Stegostoma tigrinum: one gene and its partner. The protein of the gene in region 1 interacts with the protein of each later gene in a pairwise test. Links are inferred from orthologs where the notes say so. Each region holds a gene or a part of one and is shown on either strand. Other genes may lie near its edges. The genes, in order: poc5 and uncharacterized protein LOC125458671.

Region 1 (12,914 bases):
AAGGGTCTAGGCCCAAAAAGCCAGCTTTCCTGCTCCTCTGATGCTGCTTGGCCTGCTGTGTTAACCCAGTTCTACCCCTTGTTATCTCAGATTCTCCAGCATCTGCAGTTCCTACTACCCCTCACCACAACATCTTCCTTGTTTTAAGTTCTAAATTCCAGAAATTAGTTTAACTTGCTGTATAATATTCCTACTATCTTACCTCCATTTTAGTTTAAATATATGAAAACAGGGCATACGGAAATGTTAAATGGGTCTATACTATTCATTTACTCTGAAATACACTTTTGGGTTGTGTCATTTCTAGTAATTCTTGCCAAGTCAATACAGTGGATTGCTCACATTAATCTCATTACTCAGTTTGGCCATTGTTGTTACTTATTCCCTCCTTTCCAGTTCTACATCATTCATAGCCAGAGGCAACCTGAAGTTGCTAAGTACCCACTCAGACTTTCATGTTGAGAATGCATGACCTCTGGCTTGTATGCACATTTGGTGAGATAGGAAGCTGCATATTAACAAGCTAAGATTTGCTGGTAATAAGGCCCCTAATTATCAACTTGCCAGTACCTAGTGAGAAACTCGTCTTTATGCCTAGAAGATGCAGAAATGATCCCAAAGTCAAGCTAGGCCTCACCTGACTTTTTGCACATTTCAGCCACAATCCAGCTTTGGCTCATGCCATGCAGACCCCTTTAAGATTCATCCTGTGATTTTGAAGTTAGATTATTTATGGTCTAAAATACTTCATACATGAGGTTAAATTTGCAAGTAATACCAAGACCAGTGGCAAGAGCTTCTTTAAATACATAGTTCAGAAGAGAGAAGCCTGTGTGAGCATAGGTTCCCCAAGAGAATGAGGCTGGGGAATTAACGGGGAATCAGGAAATGGAGGACATATTGAATAAATACTTTGCGCTAGCTTTCACAATAAATGACATGAATAGCATTCTAAAATTACTAAATAACCATATGGAAAAGGAGGAAAGGAAATAAATATAATAATTATCACCAGAGAAAAAGTGCTAGGGAAACAAATGGGGTTAAAGGCTAATAGATCCCTGATGGAATGTATCCCAGAATATTGAAGGAATTAACTACAGGGATAATGGATACATTGACAGTAATCTCTCAGGAATTGTTTTGCAAGCTAACCAGAAAAATCATACCTTACCTATGTACATCAGGGTAATTGAACATAATGCAGAATATAGTGTTACAGCTGCACAAAAGTTACAGAGAAAAATCAACTCTAACATATGAGAGATCCTTTCATAAGTCTGATAGCAGCAGGGAAGAAGCTGTTCTTGAATCTGTTGGTATGTGTTTTCAAACTTTTGTATCTTCTGCCCAATAGAAGTGTGTGGAAAAGAGTATAACGTGCTTGGGAGCGTCTTTAATTATGTTCATTGTTTTCCCGAGACAGCAGGAAGTAGAGACAGAGTCAATGGTAGGAAGGCTGGTTTTTATGAGGGACTGGGCTGTGTCCACAACTCTCTGTATTTTCTTGTGGCCTTGGGCAGAGCAATTGTCATACCAAGCTGTGACGCATCGGGATAGGGTCCTTTCTGTAAAATTTGGTAAGAATCATGGTGGACATGCCAAATTTCCTTAGCCTTCTGAGGAAATAGACATGTTAGTGTGCTTTCTTGACAGCAGTGTAGACATGGGGATGGACCAGAATAGATCATTAGTGATAGTCACTCCTCGGAATTTGAAGCTCTTGACCACCTCTACCTCAGTACCATCTATTCAGACAAGGGTGTGTCCTCCACCTTGTTTCTCGAAGCTTAATTTCTATTGTGTATCTGTTGTTTGACACTTATATTTACAGCTAGCAAAGAATCAATTAATCATTTAATCATTGAGAGAAAGCTGCAGCCAGGTGGGGGACATTCCTGTGCACATATAAATAGAAGTACGCTGAAATCTCTTGGTATATATTTATGTATCTTTGTAAATCAAAGGTGCTAAATGAATAACGAGTTGCATTCAGTTTTCTGTCAGTTACCATCTGGTGATCTGAGCTTTGACAACCATGCTGATAGTTATAAGATGGCATGATTTTACAGAGTCATCAGGATCTGGAAGAAACACAGGCAACGAATGGTGAGTGTCACGCCACTACAGGCCCTTAAATGAAAACTTGTCAAATTCCCAAAAGGACATTGCCAGTCACAGTGCATTAGCTGTTGTGTTAAATTGTAGTGTAGCTCTCCGAAACATCAGGATGTAGAAAAGAACTTGCCTCAGGTTTTTCCTAAAACAGTCATACTCCAAGCGACAGAATTAGGACTTAGAGCAGTGTGCAGATTTGTGGCTCAGCGAATCCACACATTGAAAAGTTGAGCCGAGTGGCAATCCCAAACTGCTGATCTCCTTGGAGAATTCAGCTCTTCCTCTATTTGTTTCTTGATCCATATTGAAGATTTTGGGTGTCACTTTAACTTGAATTGTAGTCCTAAGTCGCTTACATTTATAGACTGACTTTGAAAGAGTCAATCTACAGTTAACTCATCCTGATTAGATATAAGCCTAATTTCAGGTACAAATATATTTTCATGGGTTTTACCAAATTTATGTAGTTTATCATGCAAGCTACAAAATAAATAATACTTTATAACAAAAATGCTTTTCAGTCAATCCACTTTGCAATGTCACTGATTGGCTGGGTACAAGTCTCTTATTCTCTTATGCCCACCAAATCTCTCCTTTTGTGCCCGGTCTTCTTTCTTGCCAATTGACCCATTTATTAAACTTATGACCTGTGCGTGGTCAGAGGCACCCTGAACTGTAATTGTCTTGGAAACACATGAGCAGCACATGAACAGCTCATTGTGAATCTTGAATTGGCTAGGTAATATCTGCACAATGAATGATTATTTTCCTTAAAAGTTGTGGTCATCTTGTTGTCATCATTTCTTACCATCTCCTGTCTAAATTCTGAAATGCCAATCACTTTGCAAGATCATCCTTTTTATGATAGTTTAGCAACTCTACAGAGATATAGAAACTAGGAGCTGGAGAAAGCCATTCGACCCTTCGAGCCTGCTCCACCATTCAATATGATTGTGGCTGATTTTCTAACTCAATGCCATATATCCTCTTGCTCTCCCTTGTGGTCCTCACTAACTAAAAATTTATCAAACTTTCTTGAATATGCTCAATGATTCAGCTTTTGTGTTAGTGAATTCCACAGGTTGACCACCCTCTAAGTGAAGAAATGTTTCCTCATCTTTGTCCTAAATGGCCTACTGAGACTGAAACCCCTGGTTCTGGACTTCCCAAATCAGGAAGACAACCTCCTCTCATTCAGTTTTCCAGTCCCATCAGAATTTTATACATTTCAATCAGATCACCTTTCATTCTTCTAAACTCTAGTAAAAACAGAACCAGTCAAACCAATTTCTCCTCATACGACAGTCCTACTAACCCCAGTTTCAGTCTTGTGAACTTTTGCTGCACTCTCTCTACAGCAAACATAGAACATAAAACAATACGGCGCAGAACAGGCCCTTCGGCCCTCGATGTTGTGCCGACCTGTGAACTAATCTAAGCCCCTCCCCCTACACTATCCCATCATTATCCATATGCTTATCCAAGGACTGTTTAAATGCCCCTAATGTGGCTGAGTTAACTACATTGGCAGGCAGGGCATTCCACGCCCTTATCACTCTCTGAGTAAAGAACCTGCCTCTGACATCTGTCTTAAATCTATCACCCCTCAATTTGTAGCTATGCCCCCTTGTACAAGCTGAAGTCATCATCCTCAGAAAAAGACTCTCACTGTCCACCCTATCTAATCCTCTGATCATCTTGTATGTCTCTATTAAATCCCCTCTTAGCCTCCTTCTCTCCAATGAGAACAGACCCAAGTCCCTCAGCCTTTCTTCATAGGGCCTGTCCTCCAGACCAGGCCTCCCTTAGGCAGGAACACCAAAAAGGCACACAATGCTCAAGTAGTAGGTCCTGTATTGCTGTACTATGACATCCTTACTTCTGAACAAAAATCCTCTACCATTGGCCAATTTGCTTTCCGAGGTTCATGCTGTACCTGTTTGTTTACTTTCATTGACTGGTGTACAATGACACAAAGTCCGTTTGTATATGCATATTTCCCTGTATTTCAGATTTAAATAACATTCTTTCTTTCTGTTTTTCACACCAAAGTGTGTAAATGCTCATATTTAGACATGTTATTCTCTCATGTGTTTTCCCTCACAATTATTCTCTCTATGGATCCGAAGATTCTTTGAATCTTCCTCACAACTCAAAACCTCATCTAGTTTTTTTTCAACAAACGTGGAAACATTGCTTTTGGTTACTTCATTCAATCCTTGTGATACACTACTAATTACCACCGTTTACCTGGAAAAAGACAGATTTATTCCCAACCTCTGTTGCTGGTTTGTAAAGCAATACCTAATCCATGCCCGCTTTTCTTTCTCCCTTCTCTTTTTAAATAGTTGAGTTACATTTGCCACCTTCAAATCTGTACTATCTGCTCCAGAATCTTTAGAAATTTGGAAGATGACCACCAATACATCCAATATTTTCAGGGCCCCTTCTATCGGTACTCTGGACACAGATTATCAGGACTTGAGAACTTGTCTCTCTTTAAACAATTTAGTTTAAAAACTCTGATTTCTTTTCAATTCCTCCCTTTCATTAGATCGTTGGTTTCCCCAAGATTTGTGTGAAATTATTTGTGATCTCTTTTGTGAAGACAGAACCATTGTATGTGATCAATTCTCCTGCTGTTTCTTTGTTCCCCATTATCATTTCCCTCATTTCCCTACAGGAAAATGAGCTGGGAGATAAACCAGATTACTACAACATTGATTGAATATGCCAGTGTGACATTTTGCAGAGGTATACATTTCTCTTTTCTACCTTTTTTGATTTTGCTCTTATTCTTTACTATTTTAGAATATTCCAATGTGACTAATGCTGTTTTTATACAATCTTATGTTGTTTTCATTGGTTTATCTTGCTTTTGGATCATAGGTTCTATTGGTTTACTTTCCAGCAGACCATAAGATCACAACAGCAGAATTAGGTCATTCAGTCCATTGAATCTGCATCACCATTCACTCACGGCTGATATGTTTCTCAATCTCATTCTCCTGCCTTCTCCCTTTACTAATCAAGCACCTGTCTGTGTCTTAAATACATTCAATGCCTTCACCTCCACAGGCTTCTGTGGCAATGAGTTCCACAGCTTAACCACGCTCTAGCTGAAAAGGATTCCTCCTCATCTCGGTTATCCTGTCATTCTGAGGCTGTACCCTCAGATCATAGCCTCTCCCACTCGTAGAAACATTTTCTGCACATCCACTCTTATCCAGGCCTCTTAGTATTCTGTAAGTTTCTATGAGATTCTTCTCTCATCCTTCTAAACTACTTCAAGTACAGACCCAGAGTCCTCACCCTCTTCTCATATGTCAAGGCCTTCATCCCAGGATCATTCTCATAAACTTTCTCTGTACCCATGCCAGCACATCCTTCTCGAGATATGGGGCCCAAAGCCATTCATAATTTTCCAAATGCAGTTTGACCAGAGCCTTTGCAGCCTCAACAGTACGTCTGTGCTCTTGTTTTCTAGCCATCTCAAAATGAATTCTAACATTGCATTTGGCTTCCTAACTGCTAGCTGAACCTGTGAGTTAACATTAAGAAAATTGTGAATTAAGACTGCCAGTCCTTTTTTGCTTCAGATTTCCAAAGTCATTCCTCATTTAGAAAATAGTCTATGCCTCTTTTATTACCAAAGTGCACAACCACATTGTATTCTATCCGTTAATTCTTTGCCCGTTCTCCAAGCCTGTTCCAAGTCCTTCTGCAATCCTGATGAAGTGAATGAACCAAAACATCGACTTTCCTGCTCCTCTGATGCTGCCTGACCTGCTGTGTTCATCCAGCTCCACACTGTTTTGACTCTGACTTCAGCATCTGCCTCTCTTGCTATTTTCTTCTGCAGTATTCCCTCTTCGTCAACAGTGCCTGTCCCTCCACCTAACTTTGTGTCATCTGCAAACTTAGCAAGAATGCCCTCAATTCCTTTGTTCAGATCATTAATGTATAACATCAATAGTTGCTGTCTCAACACGGACACCCATGGAACTCCACTAGTCACCAGCTGCCATTCTAAGAAAGACCCTTTTATCCCTACTGTTTGCCTTCTGTCAGGTAGCCAAGCCTCTATTCATCTCAGTGCCTTGCCTCTAACACAGACTCTTACCTTATTCAGCAGCCGTCTATGCAGCACCTTGACAAAGGCTTTCTGGAAATCCAAATAGATCATGTCCACTGTCTCTCCTTTGTCTAACTTGCTCAGTACCTCCTCAAAGAATTCTAACAGATCTGTCAGGCACGACCTCCCGTTGACAAAGCTGTACTGACTCTGCCCTATTCTACCATGAACTTCCAAGTATTCCTCAATCTCATCTGATCCAGGTGATTTCCTTTCAGCTTCTCCAGCAACTTCTCCTTAGCGGTGGCCACGACACTCATTCTTGCCCCTGACTCTCTTGATGCTCTGGTACATTGTTGGTGTCTTCCACTGTGAAAACTGACGTAATATATCTCCTCCACCATTTCTTTTGCACACCCCGCCACCCCAAGTCCCACACTTACTGCTTCTCCAACCTCTGACTTCCCACTAGTCTTCATCACGTTGGATGCTTTTTCTTTTCACTTTTACTTTGTCCTTGAATTCCCTTGTCAGTCATGGTTGCTTCATCACCTACCCCCACCCCCACATGTTTCTTCGTCCTTGGGATGAATTTCTGAATTACTCCCAGAAATTCCTGCCAAAGCTGCTGCACTATCTTCCCTGCTAGGCTCTCCAAATAGCGAGTGGATCAGTTGACGTATTTTTGATGACAGGGTTTTTAAATTAAAAATGGCTAGGACAATGGAAATTTTCTTTTTTTCTGAATAGTCAGCGCCAAGAAATGCTCCACTATCCCCTGACAAAGCGCAGACCTTAAGAAGCTTCTGATCACTCGCTAATTCTCAAGCGCGGGTTGGGAGAGACGCCCAGCCAATTGGGGGTGAGCGTCCCGCGTCTCTGCGCCATGGCAACCACACGCATCCGGGAGTTCTATCCAATCCGCGCACAAGGCGGTTCAACGTTGGTGTTGCAGGTTAGACCAATCAGGGTGAGCCTTGCTTGTCTGAGCCTCCAATAGTTTGGGCGGTTATTAGCGTGCGGTCCGTTTGAAACGGTTTAGGAGAGAGCACGGACGGAGGTCAGGAGCGGCGGTTGGTGGATATGGTAAGGGTGTTCGGTGATTTAGTCGCGGTTAAACTGAGCTATGTTAAATATCCTGGGTCCTTCAGCTGAAGCTCGCAGTCCCGTTAACAATAAGGCGGCGGTAGCCGCGGGTCGAACTTCATTCCTGACGATCAGGCCCAGTGTTCCAGTCGCCTGCTCCTTATGAAGCAAAAACCGAAAGATCTACGGCTGCTGTTAATCGGGAACTAAAACAAGTTGCTGGCAAAGCTCAGCGGGAGACGTAGAACAGAATCCCTACAGTATGGAAACAGGCCCTTCGGCATAACAAGTCCACACCGACCCTCGGAGAATCCCACCCAGCAGCATCTTGACTGCTTGCTTTTATAAGATAGGATATCTTGGACTCTGGTTGATGTAAAAGCAGTTCCTTAAATTGATCTCGATCTACTACAGTTATACCTATTCACTTAATCTATAGGTATCCTGATATAAATTTCCTTCTCATGCGTGGATTGTGCCTGCATAGAAACTGACTTGTATTGAGGATGTTTTAGGTGAACATGGAAGCCATCGAATATCTGTGTTAACTTCTATGACTGACTTAATGTTTAATGCATGATAATTTTGCTGAATGAACGTAAAATAGTGGGATGATGGAAATCTGAAATAAACGCAAAATGCTGGAAAACTCAGCAGGTCTGGCAGCATCTAGAGTGAAAAAGTTATTGGTTCTAGACCAATATGACATAACTGGAGAAGACTAATATTGGACTTGAAACATTAACTTTATTCTACTGTGTACAGTTTTGGTCCTTGTATGTTTTAAAAAAGGTTATACTGGCATAGAAGGATATTCAAAGTTGATTTCTGGGATGAAAGGGGTTACTTATCAAGGACAGGGTAGATATTGAGAAGATATTTAAATAAGAGATAGTTGCAGGATAAGGGGTCACTCATTGAGAAGTGAAATTTGAATTAATTTCTTTTCACAGATAGTAATCATGTCTGAGGTTTTCTATCCCTGAGAATTGTGGATGCTGGATCACTGGAAGTGTTTAAAGATGAGGTAGATAGACATTTCAAATATCACAGATTGACAGCTGTTCTGAGCTGGCATGAAAATGGGGTCGATACCATCGGCAGATCAGTTGTGGTCTTGTTAAATGGTGGGGCAGACTTGAGAAGCTGAATGGACTTCTTTTATTTGTGTTCTTAGTTCACTTCTTCTTTCTGAGGAAGAGCATCTATGATCCTTGCCTTGTCTGGTCTACGTGTTACTCCAGATTCTACAGTGATGCGATTCACTCTTAAGAACCGTTCTCTAGTAAGCTAACTTGTTCTAGGGCAGTTATGGATGGGCAATAAATGCCAATGATTCTCATTCCATTATATAATAAATTTAAAAACTTTTCCTAATGATTCCTTGCTTAGTTACCATTAGTTTATTTTTCTGTTTACCTTCCTATAAGTTAAGATGTTTCACTGTTTGAAAGTTGCAATATAGATGTATCTTTGGCTTTCATGGAGAAAGATTAACATGATGGTTTTTTTTTTCTTAATGAAACCTGCTACCTGTGTTCTGGCACTGCCTTCATAATCAGAACTGAAAGAAATATACTGCTTCATGCTCTTAATTTCAGAAGCTCTTAATAAGTTCCCTTAATGTAAAGAGTTGAAAATCTCAACTAATTTAGTATGAATGTCAGTGGATTGGCAAAATGTTTGGTGGGTTTTTTTTTAAAATTGCGCAATTGTAAATGTAGCTGAAGTACGATTCTGTTACCAGCATGTTCTACTGAAGTAGTTTGTTTACATTAATTAATTTATTCAGGTAGGATCAAATTGGAAGTAGCCAAACTCATACCATTTTGAGCTAGAAATTTGTCCTCCATACGAAAATTGATTATAATGGTAAGAAAACTCGTAACTTGCCTAGAATTTTTAAAAAGAACTAGACTTTGATTTTGGTGAGCTGGATCGTGACCCTATTAAATTCCTTGAAGTATTTACTTACTAAAGTTTTTTTTAAGAAAGCTGTGCTCACTGTTCTCTAATTTTTGTAGGAAATACCCTTAAAGAACGGGTTTGAGTTCACACTTCATACATTCTTTTTAAGTGGCATTGTATGTAGTCTAAGGGAATTGACTCTCGTGAGCCATCTTATTGTATCTGTGATTGCAAGAAGCATGTTAACATAATATCTACTGGGGGATGGTGGCTCAGGTTAAATTTGAGGTCAGAAAGATTAATACTTTTCAGATCAGAAGATTGAAATAGTAAACAGATATTATCAAAATTGTACTGATTTTGTTGTCTCTCTTCTGGGCCTAGATTAGTACTCGGGGGAAAAAAAAATTGATTGCTTTCTCTTGTGCAGATGTCCTCTGATGATGAAAGGATTTCCAGCCCTGTACTCCCCAAAGATTCAGATCGAGGTAGTTCAGTTTCTTCTGATCTACAGGTAGGGAAGAGGAATTTCATTTTTGAGTATCTAAAGATAAACATAATTGAACACTTTAAATATTTAAAAAGAATAGTCGTTTGATAGCGTAGGTTTTATGTATTGCTTGGGGAGGAAAATGTGCATTTTGTTTCAGCACCATTACTTGTTCATACAGTGCGCATGGCACTGGCATGGGCCAGCTTTAATTGCACAAAGATTAGCCAAGAGTCAACCACATGCTAGTGAGTATTGAGCCACAGGTAGGCCAGACCAGGTAAGCACATTAGTGAATCATTTTTTTAGCAACAGCTGATGGTGCCTACATTGTCCCCATTAGCTTTGCTTTTTATTACAGATTCTGTTACCAGAGTCCTCCTGTTCTTCAAGTTTTAATTACCCATCACCGCTGCCACTTTGCTACTATGCAGAATGAGTCAATGTGAAACAGCTACCTTAGCCTGTTGCTCAAACTTTCGAGAAACATTATTCTGAATCTAAGTTTAAATTGGGCACTTTCAGAAGAAAAAAAGGCATTCTGCCTATTGTGCAGATCAGGAATGTAACATACAAATTTTGATGCTGATGTGGAGCTGGGCATATAGTCTGTACATCCCAAAGTCTGGCCAGTTGTGTCAAATAACCTAGCACAAAATATCTTGCAAGAACTGTGACAAACACTACATTGGACAAACAGGCAGCAAGCTAGCCACCAGGATACATGAACATCAACTAGCCACAAAAAGATATGATCCACTATCACTAGTATCCTTACATACAGATGAGGAAGGACACCACTTTGATTGGGACAACACATCCATCCTAGGACAAGCCAAACAGAGACACACACGAGAATTCCTAGAAGCATGGCATTCCAACCAGAACTCCATCAACAAACACATTGATTTGGAGCCTATCTACCATCCTCTGAGAAAAAGAACAGGAAATGACATCACCAACCCAAGGAAACCTGAACAGATAAATAGAAAGCAGGACATAACACCAGTGCTTCATCGGAGGCTCACTGATGATGTTACCCAGAATGGTGACGAAACGTCTGAAAACGAACCTTCCAGCTCAGCGAGCAAACTCGCATCCAGAACCTCAACCTGAGTTACAAATCTTCTCAAAACTCACTAACCTAGCACTTCTGTTTGCAACAGCCTGCGCAGTGTCTAAACTCTGTCTGACAGTAGATGTTCTGGACAACATTTCGTAAGTAATACGAGTCAGCAATAAATTACACTGGCAGCCCATTCCAGATTGTCTGAGGCTCGCCCCTAGGAAGAACATGTACACTTGCTACACCTGTTTCAATTCAACAGAATAGGATCTTTAGAATTTTTTCCCCAAGGCAAAGCATTGACCAATCCAAGTGACCCAGCCTTGTTTAAAATTTAAACAAAATTTAACAGTTACCAATCATGCTTCAAAAAGCATTACATTCTCCACAATAATGCCTATGCCAATCAATCAGCACTGTGCTTAGTCATTAACGCCGCGTTTGACAGGGTGGATATGGAGAGACCGTTTCCACTCATACGGGAATCAGGAACCATTGGGTCACTGTTTAAGAAAGCGTTCCTTTTGGTGGATACTACTGTTTTTCTTTATTCATTCTTGGGATGAGGGCGTCACTGGCTAAGCAACATTTGTTGCCCATCCTTAATTGCCCAGAGGGCAGTTCAGAGTCAACCACATTTCTGTGGGTCTGGAGTCAAATGTAGGCCAGACCAGGTAAGAATGGCAGTTTCCTTCCCTAAAGGACATCGGTGAACCGGATGGATTTTTCCTGACCGTTGACAATGGATTCACAATCATCATTAGATTCTTAATTCCAGATAGTTATTGAATTCAAATTCCACCATCTGCAATGGCGGGATTTGAACCCTGGTTCCCAGAATGTTATCTGGGTCTCTGGATTAACAGTCCAGAGATAATACCACAGGGGCATCGCCTCCTACAAAGTGCATTTGATGTTGATAAACCCACAATGCTGCCGAGGAGGAACCTGCTTGATACCACACGTAGAATGGCAACATTTTAAAAGAAACTGCTTTTCCAATCAGGGATCAAATACTGCCTTGATGTCAAGAGCGATCGCTCTCACTTCACCTTTACAGAATTTTGTCAGGGGAAAATCCTTGCAGTGTCTTCAGTCATGTCTCAATATCACAAGCAATAAATCAAATTCTCTGGATACTGGCAGGTGAGTGATACTGAGGTGAAGTACAAGGTTCGCATATCACTGAGGGTGGGGTTATTTGCAGAGATATGCCTCTGGTTAGTTGTTTCATTGTCCTTCATCGTGATAGGATGTGGCAGAACTGCAGAGCTTGAATTTGATCTGTTGGTTTTGGAACTGCTTAGGTCAGTCCATCATTTGCTGGTTATGCTGTTTGAAATGCCAGTAGTACTGTTAGTTTCTTGATTCCAGTTAAATCCGTCAACAAAAGGAAAACTGAGCTAAGACTGTTTGTTCCCCCTTGGCATCCTCCCTTCCTTTTTTTTATTTCCCACACCCCCAACTTTATTTGTTTTGAAGTCAACTTCAGTCTGTCCTCTCCATCCAAACTTGCTTCAACATTCCCTTTTGCTACCTCCCTATGATTAGATGAATTTCTTCTTTCAAATTTTGTCATTCTTCATCGTGTTTGCCCATTCCGCAGTTATCTGGTATACCCCTGGCCAATTTTCAGGATCACTGGGACTTTTGAGGACTGAATTTGCCAACCAGCCATACTTATTTTGACATAACAAAGTGTGGAGCTGGATGAACGCAGCAGGACAAGCAGCATCTTAGGAGCACAAAAGCTTTTGTGCTCCTAAGATGCAGCTTGGCCTGCTGTGTTCATCCAGCTCCACACGTTATCTCAGACTCTCCAGCATCTGCAGTTCCCATTAATCTCTATTATGAGTGCTGCTTGCAATGATGCATCCGTAAACATTAATTGCGTCTGCTGTTTACACACAGTAGCAACAATGTATACCATCTGTAAGATATGCTGCAGAAATTCACCGAGACTCTTTGGAAAGCACCTCACTAACCTGTGACCACTTCCACCTAAAAGGATAAGGGCAGCAGATACGTGGATACCTGGCCTTTCTGAGCCACTCACTATCCTGACTCAAAATTCCTTCAGTGTCACTAAAATAAAATCCTGCAACTCCCTCCATAACAGCATTATGATGTTCTGAGAATAAAACGAGTGAAGTGGTTCAAGATTGCCATCA
Region 2 (12,359 bases), on another chromosome or scaffold:
CAAAACTAAATCAATCTGTGGCATAACTTCGCCAAGATGTCTCCAAGAAAACTTAGCTGTCAGATCCATCGTGATGACCACAAAAGTGCTAAAAAAAAAAGCAGACAGCAAATACTATCTCTATCAAATCACATTAACATTTCTGATAGGTGGCTCCTGTTAGAATATATTCCATTGACATTCAGCTGAGAGCACAAAGAAGGTCCGTTATCATAGACATTCACCTCAATTTCCCGTGTTGTGGTACATTCGGGATAGAGCATTGATATAACAAGGGGAGCACTCTGAGAGACAGATCTCCTTAAATTTCATTGATGAACATCTCAGAAGTACAGTTTGGGAAAGAATAAGCCATTACATTCATTGAATACATTCCTACCACATAGTTTGTGCCATTAAAAATATGTGTATATACACACACAACACTAAGATGTACAGTTCATAATTACAGTTCCCCTCTGAAAGTGACCGTAACTTCAGCACATCAGATAAACACATCAGCACAGAAATTCTGAAGTTACAGTCTGTCACACAGAGTTCCAATTTAGGAACTCACTTCTCAGTAAATCAATTGTTAATTCTTCACCCTCTACCAAAGCCTACATTGATTGGAGAAACTTTCTGCTCATCCAATCCTTGATGTCAGTAATCTGTCGGTCAGTCTGATAACAGGGAATTTGAGGGAGGTAGTGGTGAGGCAGAGCTGTGTGGCGTCAGCATACCCATGAAAAAGTTTTTCTCCAGTAACAATGTCAAGTCAGGAACAAGTGTTGTCAGTCCTAGATAATATTTTTTAAACTGAAGGCTTGTGTTAAGTTCAGTTAACAAAATTAGAGTCATACAAAAAAAGGAATGATATATCACTGGCAAATCAAATATTACAAAGCCGAGCTGTTTCTCTTTATGCATGCTGCTGGCATCATGAGAAACTGAGACATCAATATTACAATGTTAAAATGTACCTTATACCAACCTCTTTACAGCACAAATCCGCACTGAAGAACTGAATTCTTTCATTCTCAACAGGTTTTCGAACATCCAAAATATTAACAGTGTAGCCTTTTTCCAGAAGCCTCTTCACCAAATGCTGACCCAAGAAACCTGAGCCCCCGATAACTGTACATTTCTTATTGTGCTATAAAACGAAAAGTCAGTCAAAAGTAAAACATATTACATTTTTGTCATCTATAAAATGCACAGCAGGCCTGCCAGCATCTGAGGAGGAGAGTTAGTGTTTCAAGTTAATAATCTTTCATCGAAACTGGGAAAAGTCAGAGATGTAATAGATTTTGAGCAGGTAGAGGTAGAAAAAGAGCAAGGGAGAAGGTCTGTGACAGGGTAAAATGCAGGGGTATTAAACATCAGGAGGGAACGTATTATCACAAGGATCAATGCTCCAAAGCCACAATCAATAATGGGGCAAGTAAAGGAATAAAAGATATGTGTAGGCAACATGAAAAACTGCCAACCAAAAGGAAAAAAAAACAAAACTTTTTCAATATCTTTGTTGAAAAGCCAACAAGGAAACAAAATGGGAGCAGAGGTTATAATCTAAAATTGTTGATCTTAAAATGTCATGGGGAGATTACAGTGACCAGAAATTTAACTGGCCTGCGATGCATAAATAAAGTGGCTACCAGAATAGGTCAGAGGTTGGAAAGTAGGTCATCTTCTGCTCCCCTCATCCCTATCCACCACCTACAGGACACAAATTGGGACTGTGATAAAATATTCCCCATCCACCTTCAACATTTACTCCCTTCATCACCAACTCTCTGCGGTAAGAGGATGTCCGATTAACAAGCTGCTCTATATTAATTCATCAATGCTGCTCTCACAGCATCTACCCAACCTGGAACCTCGAGATCTTAGAAGACAAGTGCTACAGATGCATGGGAACACCACCCATTGCAAGGTCTCCTCCAAGCCACTATACCTTGGAACTACATCACTGTTCTTTCACAGTCACTGGCTCAGAATTCTGGAACAACTTCCCTAAAAGCCCTACAAGTCTACAAGCACCCCACAAACTACCACAGTTCAAGAAGGCAGCATGCCATCACTTTCTCCAGGATGATTAATGCTAACTTAGCCAGCGACACCAACATCCCAAGAACAACAAAAATAACTCAAAACCTCTAGCACTTCTAATGCAAGTTCCTTTTCCATAATCACAGCACCAGGTACCCAGTTTTGATTCCACCCTCGACTGATTGTCTGTGTGGAGTTTGCACATTCTCCCCGTGTCTGCATGGGTTTCCTCCAGGTGCTCTGGCTTCGTCCCACAATCCAAAGATGTGCAGGTTAGGTGGACTGGCCATGTTAAATTGCCCGTAGTGACTCAGGGTGTGTAAATTAGGTGGATTAGATATGGGAAATGTTGGATTATAGAGAAAGGGTAAGAGAATGGGTCTTTGGAGGGGCGGTGTGGACTTGTTGGGATGAATGGCCTGCTTCCACACTGTAGGGATTCTATGATTCTAATCAAAGTCTCTCTCTCTACCTGACTGATTGAAATGACCTCAATCTTGTCTCTCCCTTTAGATGCATTCCAGCTATCAACTCCTCCCTTCCTTCCTCGAACCATTCTCGTGTTCCACTTGTTCTCTCATTCTACTCCACCAGACTTTGCAGACAATTGATCATCCTCTGCCATTTCTGCCAGCTCAAGTGTGATGTCAAATACAGTGTCCTTCACTTCCAGCATTCCAAAAGAACCATTCCTTTTGCATGGTGTTGGTCCACTCCTCAGTCATCATTTGTGCAACCATTAAAAAAAGCAATGGATTCTTTTAATAGCAGGGAAAACGTCACCTTTCTCCATGATACCATTCATCAGATCTCAGGTGGCATAATCACAAAAGTGTTACAGTGCAGCAGGCTGCGACTCGGCAGATTGTGTCCGCACCAGCACTTCTAATAAACATCATTAACTGCTGTCAATATCCTGCCTTTTCACTATGTGCACAATATAACACCATATTAGGCATTGGTTCCTTTGGCCTTGCAACATTAATCCTTTTATCAGGTGATGTCTCCTAATTTACACTCTATCACTGTCTACCTTTTGTGATCTTTTCCCTGCCTTCATCCTTTCACTTTCTCCAAGTCTGGGGAGGCTCGTGGACCTGAAGGGTTAAATGCTTCTCCCTTTCGCCACAGGCGCATCCCATACATTTCCAGCAATTCATGTTTTTAGAGTGAAAACGCCAGGTGTATTTGCATAAATGATTCGGGCAGGTGATTACCATTGTATTACAACATAGTCTGCACACTGCATCGACAGTTCCCCATTCTTTGTGTATCCAACAAAACCTCGCAATATTATATAGCATTAGCCCGCAATATCCTTACCCTTAAACGTGTGGCCATCTCCCCAGTAGCAAAGTCTCCTCGTAGATTTTAGAATAAAAGATACAGGCACAGCTAACGACCCGAAGCTCCACCTCTTCAACTACATCGATAATAGTAGCCCTGTCTCTGATTGGTCGACATACCGCTTTTCGGCAACCGTTACCCGGGTGACACATGCATCCTCCAATCGGATTATCGTATGACCATGGGCTGGTGATGGCACGTGAAGCAGTGACCAATCAGAATGGGGCTTCGTTTCACCCACAGGTTACCCATTCTCCGGGTCAATCGGATGAATGGGCAGGGGTTGGAAATGAAGAATTGTGGATGCTAGAAATCAGAAACAAAAACAGAAATTTCCGGGAAAACTCAGCAGGTCTGGCAGCATCTATGCAGAAAAAGCAACATTAACTTTTCGCTTCTAAAAAAGGGTCACTGGATCCGAATCGTTAACTCTTTTCTTTCCACAGATGGTGCCAGACTTGTTCGATCAACTTCTGCTTTTGTTGTTGGTGAATGGTCAGGTCCCGCATAGCTGCGAATAAAAGCAAGACATCACTAAAGTCAAGAGACGAAATAAATACAGTATATTCTGGAGAAATTGAGCAGGTGTGAGAGCATTCAGAATATTGTATTCAAAATATTGTTTCGATTTATTGTCAGAATATTGTTTCTTCCTTCACAGATGGTGCCAGACCTGCTGAGTTTCTTCACATTTATTTATATATAAAGAGTTGGAAAGTTGGAAAAGTATATTTGAGATAATACTCTATTATTTTGTATGGGCTGCTGATGGTCTTATTGGAAACGAGCTGCAAATATGAGAGGCTTGGGCCTGCCAAATGACAAGGAAAGTTTTAGAAGGATATGGGCCAAATTCAGGCAAATAGGACTAGTTTAGTTGGGCGAAAGGGTCTGTTTCCATGCTGTATGACTCTATGGCTCTTCACTAATGGAGGACAAACAAATACAGCAATATGTCTCTCTTGTCTTTTAGCAAAAGAAACGGGACAGGAAAGAAGAGTAAGCTGTTGTAGGCTTCTAATTTCAGTTGTCAATGAAAAGTCAACATTATTTTGGGCAATGTGAAAATGGGAACTGCAGATGCTGGAGAATCCAAGATAACAAAGTGTGAAGCTGGATGAACACAGCAGGCCAAGCAGCATCTCAGGAGCACAAAAGCTGATGTTTTGGGCCTAGACCCTTCATCAGAGAGCAGTTTGGGCAGTTTGTTTGTTTCCTCTGGCAGGCCTGCTTGCAACAGTGTATGGGCTGAAATACAGCTGCCACTGAGGGGGTCCAAATACAGGAAGCATGACCCACTTGAGAAAGTGTGTTGATTCTCAAGCACGAGTATTCCAGGGTCACCACAAAAAGTTAGTGATGAAATCAAAGTAATGTATACTCCTAATTGACCTATTTGTTGGAATAAAATTAACAAAATCAAACCACTGATCAGGTTTTTTGAACATAAAGAATGGCTGTTTATTACAAAGATTTAAATTCAAGTCACAGGTACACGCGATCAATATAACTCTAATCCATTTTGAAACCCTTGCACACATGCACAAACAAAAACAAATTGTTATTTTGGGCGGACAAAAAATACTGAGAACCAGAATTCAATACCACCAGTGGGTAGCTTTAAAATTGTGTTCATTTTGCCAAGACCTTCTGTTCTTTGATAAGAGATAGTAGGAACTACCAATGCTGGAGTTTGAGATAACAACGTGTGTGTAGCTGAATGAACACAGCAGGGCAGGCAGCATCAGAGGAACAGGAAAGCTGACATTTCCACACTTTGTTGTCTTTGATGGGAGAAAATAACTTGTTTGCTTCAGGTACTTTTATTGGAGAGGGAGATACGGATACGAAATTTGCTGTTTTAGCAGTCAAGCGGTTTAACCCCCAATCCAGAGTGTTGACGAGATAATAAAGTGTGAAGCTGGATGAACACAGCAGGACAAGCAGCGTCTCAGGAGCACAAAAGCTGATGTTTTGGGCCTAGACCCTTCATCAGAGAGGGGGATGGGGTGAGGGTTCTGGAATAAATAGGGAGGGAGGGGGAGGCAGACCGAAGATGGAGGGAAAAGAAGATAGGTGGAGAGGAGAGTATAGGTGGGGAGGGGATAGGTCAGTCCAGGGAAGACAGACAGGTCAAGGAGGTGGGATGAGGTTAGTAGGTAGGAAATGGAGGTGCGGATTGAGGTGGGAGGAAGGGATGGGTGAGAGGAAGAACAGGTTAGGGAGGCAGAGACAGGCTGGGCTGGTTTTGGGATGCAGTGGGGGGGAGGGGGCGAACTGGGCTGGTTTTGGGATGCGGTGGGGAAGGGAGATTTTGAAGCTGGTGAAGTCCACATTGATACCATTGGGCTGCAGGGTTCCCTAGCGGAATATGAGTTGCTGTTCCTGCAACCTTCGGGTGGCATGATTGTGGCACTGCAGGAGGCCCATGATGGACATGTCGTCTGAGGAATGGGAGGGGGAGTGGAAATGGTTCGCGACTGGGAGGTGCAGTTGTTTATTGTTGACGTTTGGTTTATGTCATTTCCTAGAATGAAGCATATCCTTACCAAGATTATTGCTGAAGAAGCAGCAGATACCGTGGTTTTCAGGGTTCCACAATTCAAGAGCCCATGACCCTGGTCCGGCGTATTCCTTCTTCCAGTGGGATCACTTCACACAGTTTTGAGGGGGTGAGAGAGACGGAAACCCTTGTTAACACTGATATGGATGAGGGAAACTTTAAGGGTCAGTGGAGGATTTACTGGTAAAGGCTTCACGTCCGATAGGCAGTACTGAGCAGGTCAGAGTGATGAGAAAAACGCACACCACACACTTCCAAATACAAACCGCCAAATTTTTCCAACACCCTCGTCTCCAAGCCAAAAGCTAGAAGCCGTCAACGGCAATTACACCAGACGTCACTAACGTGACAAATCAGAACGAGGGGGCGTTGCCCTGCAGTGGGAACCGCAGTCGGATTGGTGAATATTCAGGCGGAGCCCGCCTACTAGCCAAAATGACTGACGCGTCACCGGTGACCATGGGAATGACCGCTTCTGGACTGCGATTGGTCGGCCGATTGCTATGGAGCTTGAGCGTCTGGAAATGCGACAGCTGGGGAATTGCAAATTTGTTGTTAACGTATTGTCTAGAGCGTGTGGAAATGGCTGCCAAGGTGAGTAAAGGCACTTCTCATCCGATATTCTGACCGGCATTTTAAAACATTCGTGGGAAAGCCGCCAACGGCTGCTGACAAATAGCAGGTGAATAGCGGGAGCATTATGGGGGAAGCTGCGAAATTTGGAAGTGTGTGGGAGTGACAGTTAGGAATCGGGTAAAATGGGGAGAGTCGGATCGTAAAGACCTAATTTGAGGCTTGGGCATCATAAAGCAAAGGCAGAAGGTAGGACGATAAGTGAGTGCACTGTTGACTATTTAACGTACCAATTAAAGGGTTTTGGGCGCGGTTCGATTTCGACTCCACTGTAACCCAGCACAGACGCAGGATGAGCAAGAACAGACAGGGTTTTTCCTCCTGAACCTCGTTTCTAACACATGATAGATAATTCACTTTCCTTTGAACCATTCCAACGTAAACTAAAGGTTAAAAGCACCTTCTGCCAAAATTGCCACTGTTGTCTAGCTGTTTATAAGATTCCGGGAACAGAAGTGAATGCTTTATTAGTTAATTTACCGACATTGTTTTCAAGAAACGTGATGACTTGGGTGCTGAATGCTCTAACAATTACGAATTTAAAAAGTTAATCATCGTAAACACTGGCACATTTGGTGTAGAGTTTAATGAAATAACGGAGCAAGACACCAAAATATTCTAGACTAAATGTTGCACCAAGCACACACTTTTAATTCTTTAAACTGTAGCCCAACGCTGATGTTACTTAGGTGATTTTGATATGCGGGTACAAGAGTACAATTCAAGTTACAGGTTGCTAGTGATGATTTCATCTCTATTTGCATTGGGGCGATGTTAAATTGTGTTCAAAAACGCTCCTGTAAAATGGCTTAAAATACAGGATATTGTTCAATCAGTTGGGTTGGATGCCAATACCCCCTAACCATAAAATAAATACCAATTTTATTTTTGTTGTAATATAAAATCAATACAAAATTGTTGCAGACACATAAATGAGGAACTAGTCCCTTATTAAGGGATTGAATTGATAGAATCCAGCGATCGTACTGGTTGTTGAACACTAACCAATTTTACTGACAAACCTAAAACTCTTTCATTTGTTTTCTTAGTTTATCTAATTCTGACAAGTGTCTTATGATAAAATGGTCCTTGTAAAACTTGAGATATTGTTTACGATCAGGGCAGTAATTTTATGGTTGAATTACAGGCACAGTGTCTCAAAATTGGATATCTCCAGACCAAGATTCTTCTAAATTTTGTGTTTGGGATGACACAGGCATGTAGAGTGTTGAGTGAATGTTTTCTGAAGTAAAGTTTGTAAAGTGGCAGTTATGAAAAAATAGAGATAATGCTGTAAGATAAACTAGGAAAATCTTTGGAGTTAGGGCTGTTAATGGTGTTTTTTCTTTTGTGGAAGTATGGCAGAAGTTCCATGTGAATAGGTTGCCTGCTGCAGTTCAGTGAATTTTTGGTAGAGTGGAAGTAGCTGCAAGCAATTACCCAGACATCTAATTGAATCAAAGATGGTGGTGATAAAAGAAAGTCAAGTGATGACAGCTTTAAAAAAGTCTTGTTTTTGATATTGAAGGTTACTGAACAGATGGATATGAAGCATTTTCTGTACAGATATCAGTTAGGGCATATGACAGAGAAATTGTTTAGAGACATACTTGGTTAATTTTCTTGTCATGGCTGGAGTGGGGAGGCTCCTTTCAGTTTAAATGTATACTGATTTCTGATAATTGCACAGCATTTAAAAAATCGTTTTTCATTTATGGAATGTGTTTTTTGCTGGCTAAGTCAGTACTTATTGCCCATCCATAACTGCTCCAGAAAAGATGAGGATGAATGGCCTTTTTTTGAATTGCTGGCAGACCTCAGCACATCAACAGTCCTCTGAGAAAAATGTTTCCAGGATTTTAGCCATGGGACAATGAAGGAAGAGCAAGTGACTGTGCTAGGTTTGCAGTTGTCCGCAGGTTGATGCCAGGTGGTCTGTCTGGTTTCATTCATTTCTTTGGACTTTGTAGCAACTTGATACAGTTGAGTGGCAGTTTAGAATCATCCACATTGCTGTGGATCTGAGCATTGATCAGCCAGATGGGGTAAGGATGCTTGCCTCTCTGTCCAGGAAGGCGTTAGTTATGTGGGGATTTTCTTTTACAAGAGTCAATAATGGATTCATTGGACTCACTTTCAATTCTAGATTTATTCATTAAATTCAAACTTCACCAGTTGCCATCAGGGATTTTGAGCTCATGTCTGTATATTATCAGCATAAACCTCTGGGTTACTAGTCCCTAATTATGCAAGGTTTAAGCTTAGTTTTCATATCTCGAACTAATTCTCAAAATTGGCCTTTTAAGCAGGGCAACTCACCTACATGAATTCATCCAGCTTTAAAATAGGAAATAAATGCCAGCTAGTTAGACTTTAAGAGTCCCTGTGATAATATTAGCTGCTTAACAAATTTCAGTTGACAAACTGAAGAAACGATCAAAGTAGCCATATCGGATATCACAGTTTTAAAACAAAACGGAGAGAAAGGAGGATCCAGAGAGTCACCACTATCTAAAAGAGAGAGAGAGAGAGAGAGAGGGAGAGAATCTGTGCTTAGAAGTAACACGTGTGGAAACAACAGCTTCATGAAGATTGAGTCAGAGGGAGAGTGGAGTCAGAATCTTCTACAATGTGAGAAAGTGGGAACAACAGCTTGATAAAGAGTGATCGATTATTCCAAGAATTTTTCTGAAGATGGGTCTAGACCCGAAACATCAGCTTTCCTGCTCCTCTGGTGCTGCTTGGCCTGCTGTGCTCATCCACGTCTTTAACCTTGTTGTCTCTTATTAGGAAGGGATGTCTGCTACCTCCTATTGGTGGTGGTGGGGGGGGGGGGGGCGGCGGAGTTCCAAGACTCTTTTTAACAGTAATACAGGAGCAATGATGTATTTCTAAGTCAGGTTATTGTGTGTTTTTGTTGAGGGCACATTGTTGGTGATTGTGTTTCCGTGCTCCTGCTGATGATGCTGTTCTGGGTGAGGTGCTGTCGGATAAACCTTGATATTTAAAACAAATGAAACAGCCAGGAAAACAGTGACGTTTGATGTTGTGGCTAGCAATCCATTCCAGGAGAAGCCTTGACGAGTTACTACAATGCATGTTGTACAGAGCAGTCATTGCTGAGGTATCATCAAGCGGGCTGCTTTGTTCTGAATAAAGCTGAACTACTTAAAATATTGTTAGAAATGGGTTATCCAGGGAAGTGAAGAGTATTTCGTAACGTTTATGACTTGTGCTTCGCAGAAATAAATATAGAAAAAAGGAGCAGGAGTAGGCCACTCGGCCCATTAAGTTCTGCTACTCAACGTGATTGTGACTAATCTTCTATGCCAACAGCATTTTACAGAGTCCTGGGTGGCACAGTGGTTAGTACTGCTCCCTCACAGTGCCAGGGACCCAGGTTTGATTCCACCCTTGGCGACTGTCCGTGTGGAGTTTGCACATTCTCACCGTGACTGCGTGGGTTTTGTCCGGGTACTCCGATTTCCTCCCACAGCCCAAAAATGAGGATGATGAAAAGGGTGGAACTCAATGATCCCTCTAAATTTTCTGGGGCCTGTGTAGGTCCCAGAGTGGCATATTGCGTTGAGTGGCAGTTGAATTGCGTTTTTTTTTGCCTTTTGTTAATATTTACAGTTACAGGCATTCTACATGTATATGCCAATTTTTATCATTATTAACTATCAAAAACATGCATATATACTATCTCACAACTACAGATATTCGATCTGCTAAAATAAACAACAATTGGAAATTCAGAAGTCTGGGGACCTGTTTGGATTTGGTGCTGTGTTCAAGATATATACTATTTGACCAAAAGAGGATCATAGAATCCCTACAGTGTGGTTTGCAGCTATTCAGCCCATTGGGTCTGCGCCATCTTTCCAAAGAGCATCCCACCCAGACCCAACCCCCACTCTATCATCATAACCCTACATTTACTGTGGCTATTTCACTTAGCCTGCACATCCCTTGTTGGGGCAATTTAGCATGGGCAATCCAACTAACCTGCGCATCTTTGGACTGTGGGAGGATACTGGAGCACCCAGCAGAAACCCACACAGACACAGAGAGAATTGTCTGTGTGGAGTTTGCATATTCACCCAAGGCTAAAATCAAAACCACTGAGGCAGCAGGGCTAACCATTTTGTCACCCACTAGAAAGAGTATAGCACGAACAGAAGGGAAGAAGTACCATGCATTGGGTGGGAATTGAACCTGGACCTCCTGCATAACAGGTGGGAATTCTACCACTGTTCCTGAATTGCCACCTCCTTACTAGCAGTTTATTAACTCCTTTATTGACGGTCTTTTATACCAATCTTAATTTGCTGCCCAACGATTGTAAACTGCATTTGGATTAAAATTTGTCCAGATGAAATGTATGACCCAACTTGTATCAAATTGTCCCAAGCGATCTATTCTAATCTCTTTGTGGATTTGCACTTAATCAAATTCATGAGGCTAAATCTACACTCGCAGTCAGCACTTGATGCCTGAAATAGCCCACCAAATCACTGAATGTTTGAACAGAACGTATGTCCACAACCATAAATTTGAAATCGGACCATTCTTCATGTATCTTTTCAACCAAAATAATACAAATGTGTGGTTATAAAGTGAAATGTTTCAATATGTTGCACAATACTGTGTTTTCCAAATTCATAATCTGTTTTCTTGGTTTCTTGCAGCCTGGTTAAATGCATGCCACTCTCGTAATTCTTCTTGTGGAAATCTTACCAGATAGTCATGTAGGCATTGAATAAATTTAAAGATTGTGGTAGCGTTCACATCACTGAGAGCAGCCAGAACCTTCTTCACTCCGATAAAGAAGTTCACCTAGATACCGAGTCCTCAGTTTAGTGAGGCGTCAGGAAATTGCATAGCGTCAATTGTTGTCAAAGAGCTTTTCTGCAGGAATTTGCACAACGATGCCAGTTCACTGAGACTGTCATTCAAAGCAGTCAATGCAATGCAATATTTTGACTTTGTGAGCAGTTTCAGGCAATATTTTATTTTTTGGATCATTGCGCTTATTCACTTGCTGTCTGCAGTACTCCATTGAGCTATTGTGGTTTTTATGTTAGAGCACTCACTGCAAAATGTCTTGACGGCCACTTCACATCATTCAGAGGTTGAAATGCAACTGTATTACATTCTTTGACGAGGACAATTTGAAGATTTTATTTTCTGTTCTTCACAGTTGATCATTTTACATAGTTCCTTTGAAGCATTTTAATGTCTTGCATAATTGACACCTCTGTCCAAACATCAATTCCCAGATATTTTCTATGAGCAATGCAATGCTCTTCTGATGAATGTTTAATTTTGCATCACAAGACTATGGCTACTTTATCTTTCCCAGCATAACTGCTCCGTCTAATGTAAACATCACCATTTTCTGTAAGTCAAGGTCACTGAACATAAAATTGATTGCTGCCACAATTAGCACTGATGCAGTGAGTTTCAAAATTCCTGCAAATGCAGAATTTTAAGCAAATTCTGGTCAAACTTGATGTACAAAATCAACATTTTTTATTTTGTAAACTGAAATGTCTGTACATTCATCCACTATCAATGTATGAAAGAGTGATTTGTGCAATTCATCCATGAACTGCCTTTGTGTAATGAAACCAATGTGCTCCACAAATCCAAAGGTGTAATTCTTACTGTGCAAGCTCTCAATTACTTTGTCATATGATCATCAATGTCCTGTATGGAAGCATTGATGCATTCATCTTTACACCATGTATGATATTATCAGTGAGAACTTTCACCTACTCCA

Evidence for each region.
Region 2: the proteins of poc5 (region 1) and uncharacterized protein LOC125458671 interact in binary tests that used the Homo sapiens proteins (3 or more experiments, as listed by UniProt). The link is inferred for Stegostoma tigrinum from reciprocal best matches to the Homo sapiens genes POC5 and CETN1.

Annotation. Positions count from the first base shown.
Region 1 is NC_081356.1:105,375,857-105,388,770, reverse strand, and holds the start of poc5 (centrosomal protein POC5), read left to right. Parts: upstream 1-7,204; 5' UTR 7,205-7,276; coding exon 7,277-7,279; intron 7,280-8,232; exon of another isoform or gene 8,233-8,306; intron 8,307-9,617; coding exon 9,618-9,701; intron 9,702-12,914. UniProt on the Homo sapiens protein: Essential for the assembly of the distal half of centrioles, required for centriole elongation. Acts as a negative regulator of centriole elongation.
Region 2 is NC_081368.1:48,214,676-48,227,034, reverse strand, and holds the start of uncharacterized protein LOC125458671, read left to right. Parts: upstream 1-6,406; coding exon 6,407-6,535; intron 6,536-12,359. Other genes in the region: nsdhl (sterol-4-alpha-carboxylate 3-dehydrogenase, decarboxylating), read right to left, coding at 974-1,135, 3,355-3,372. UniProt on the Homo sapiens protein: Plays a fundamental role in microtubule-organizing center structure and function. Plays a role in sperm cilia formation.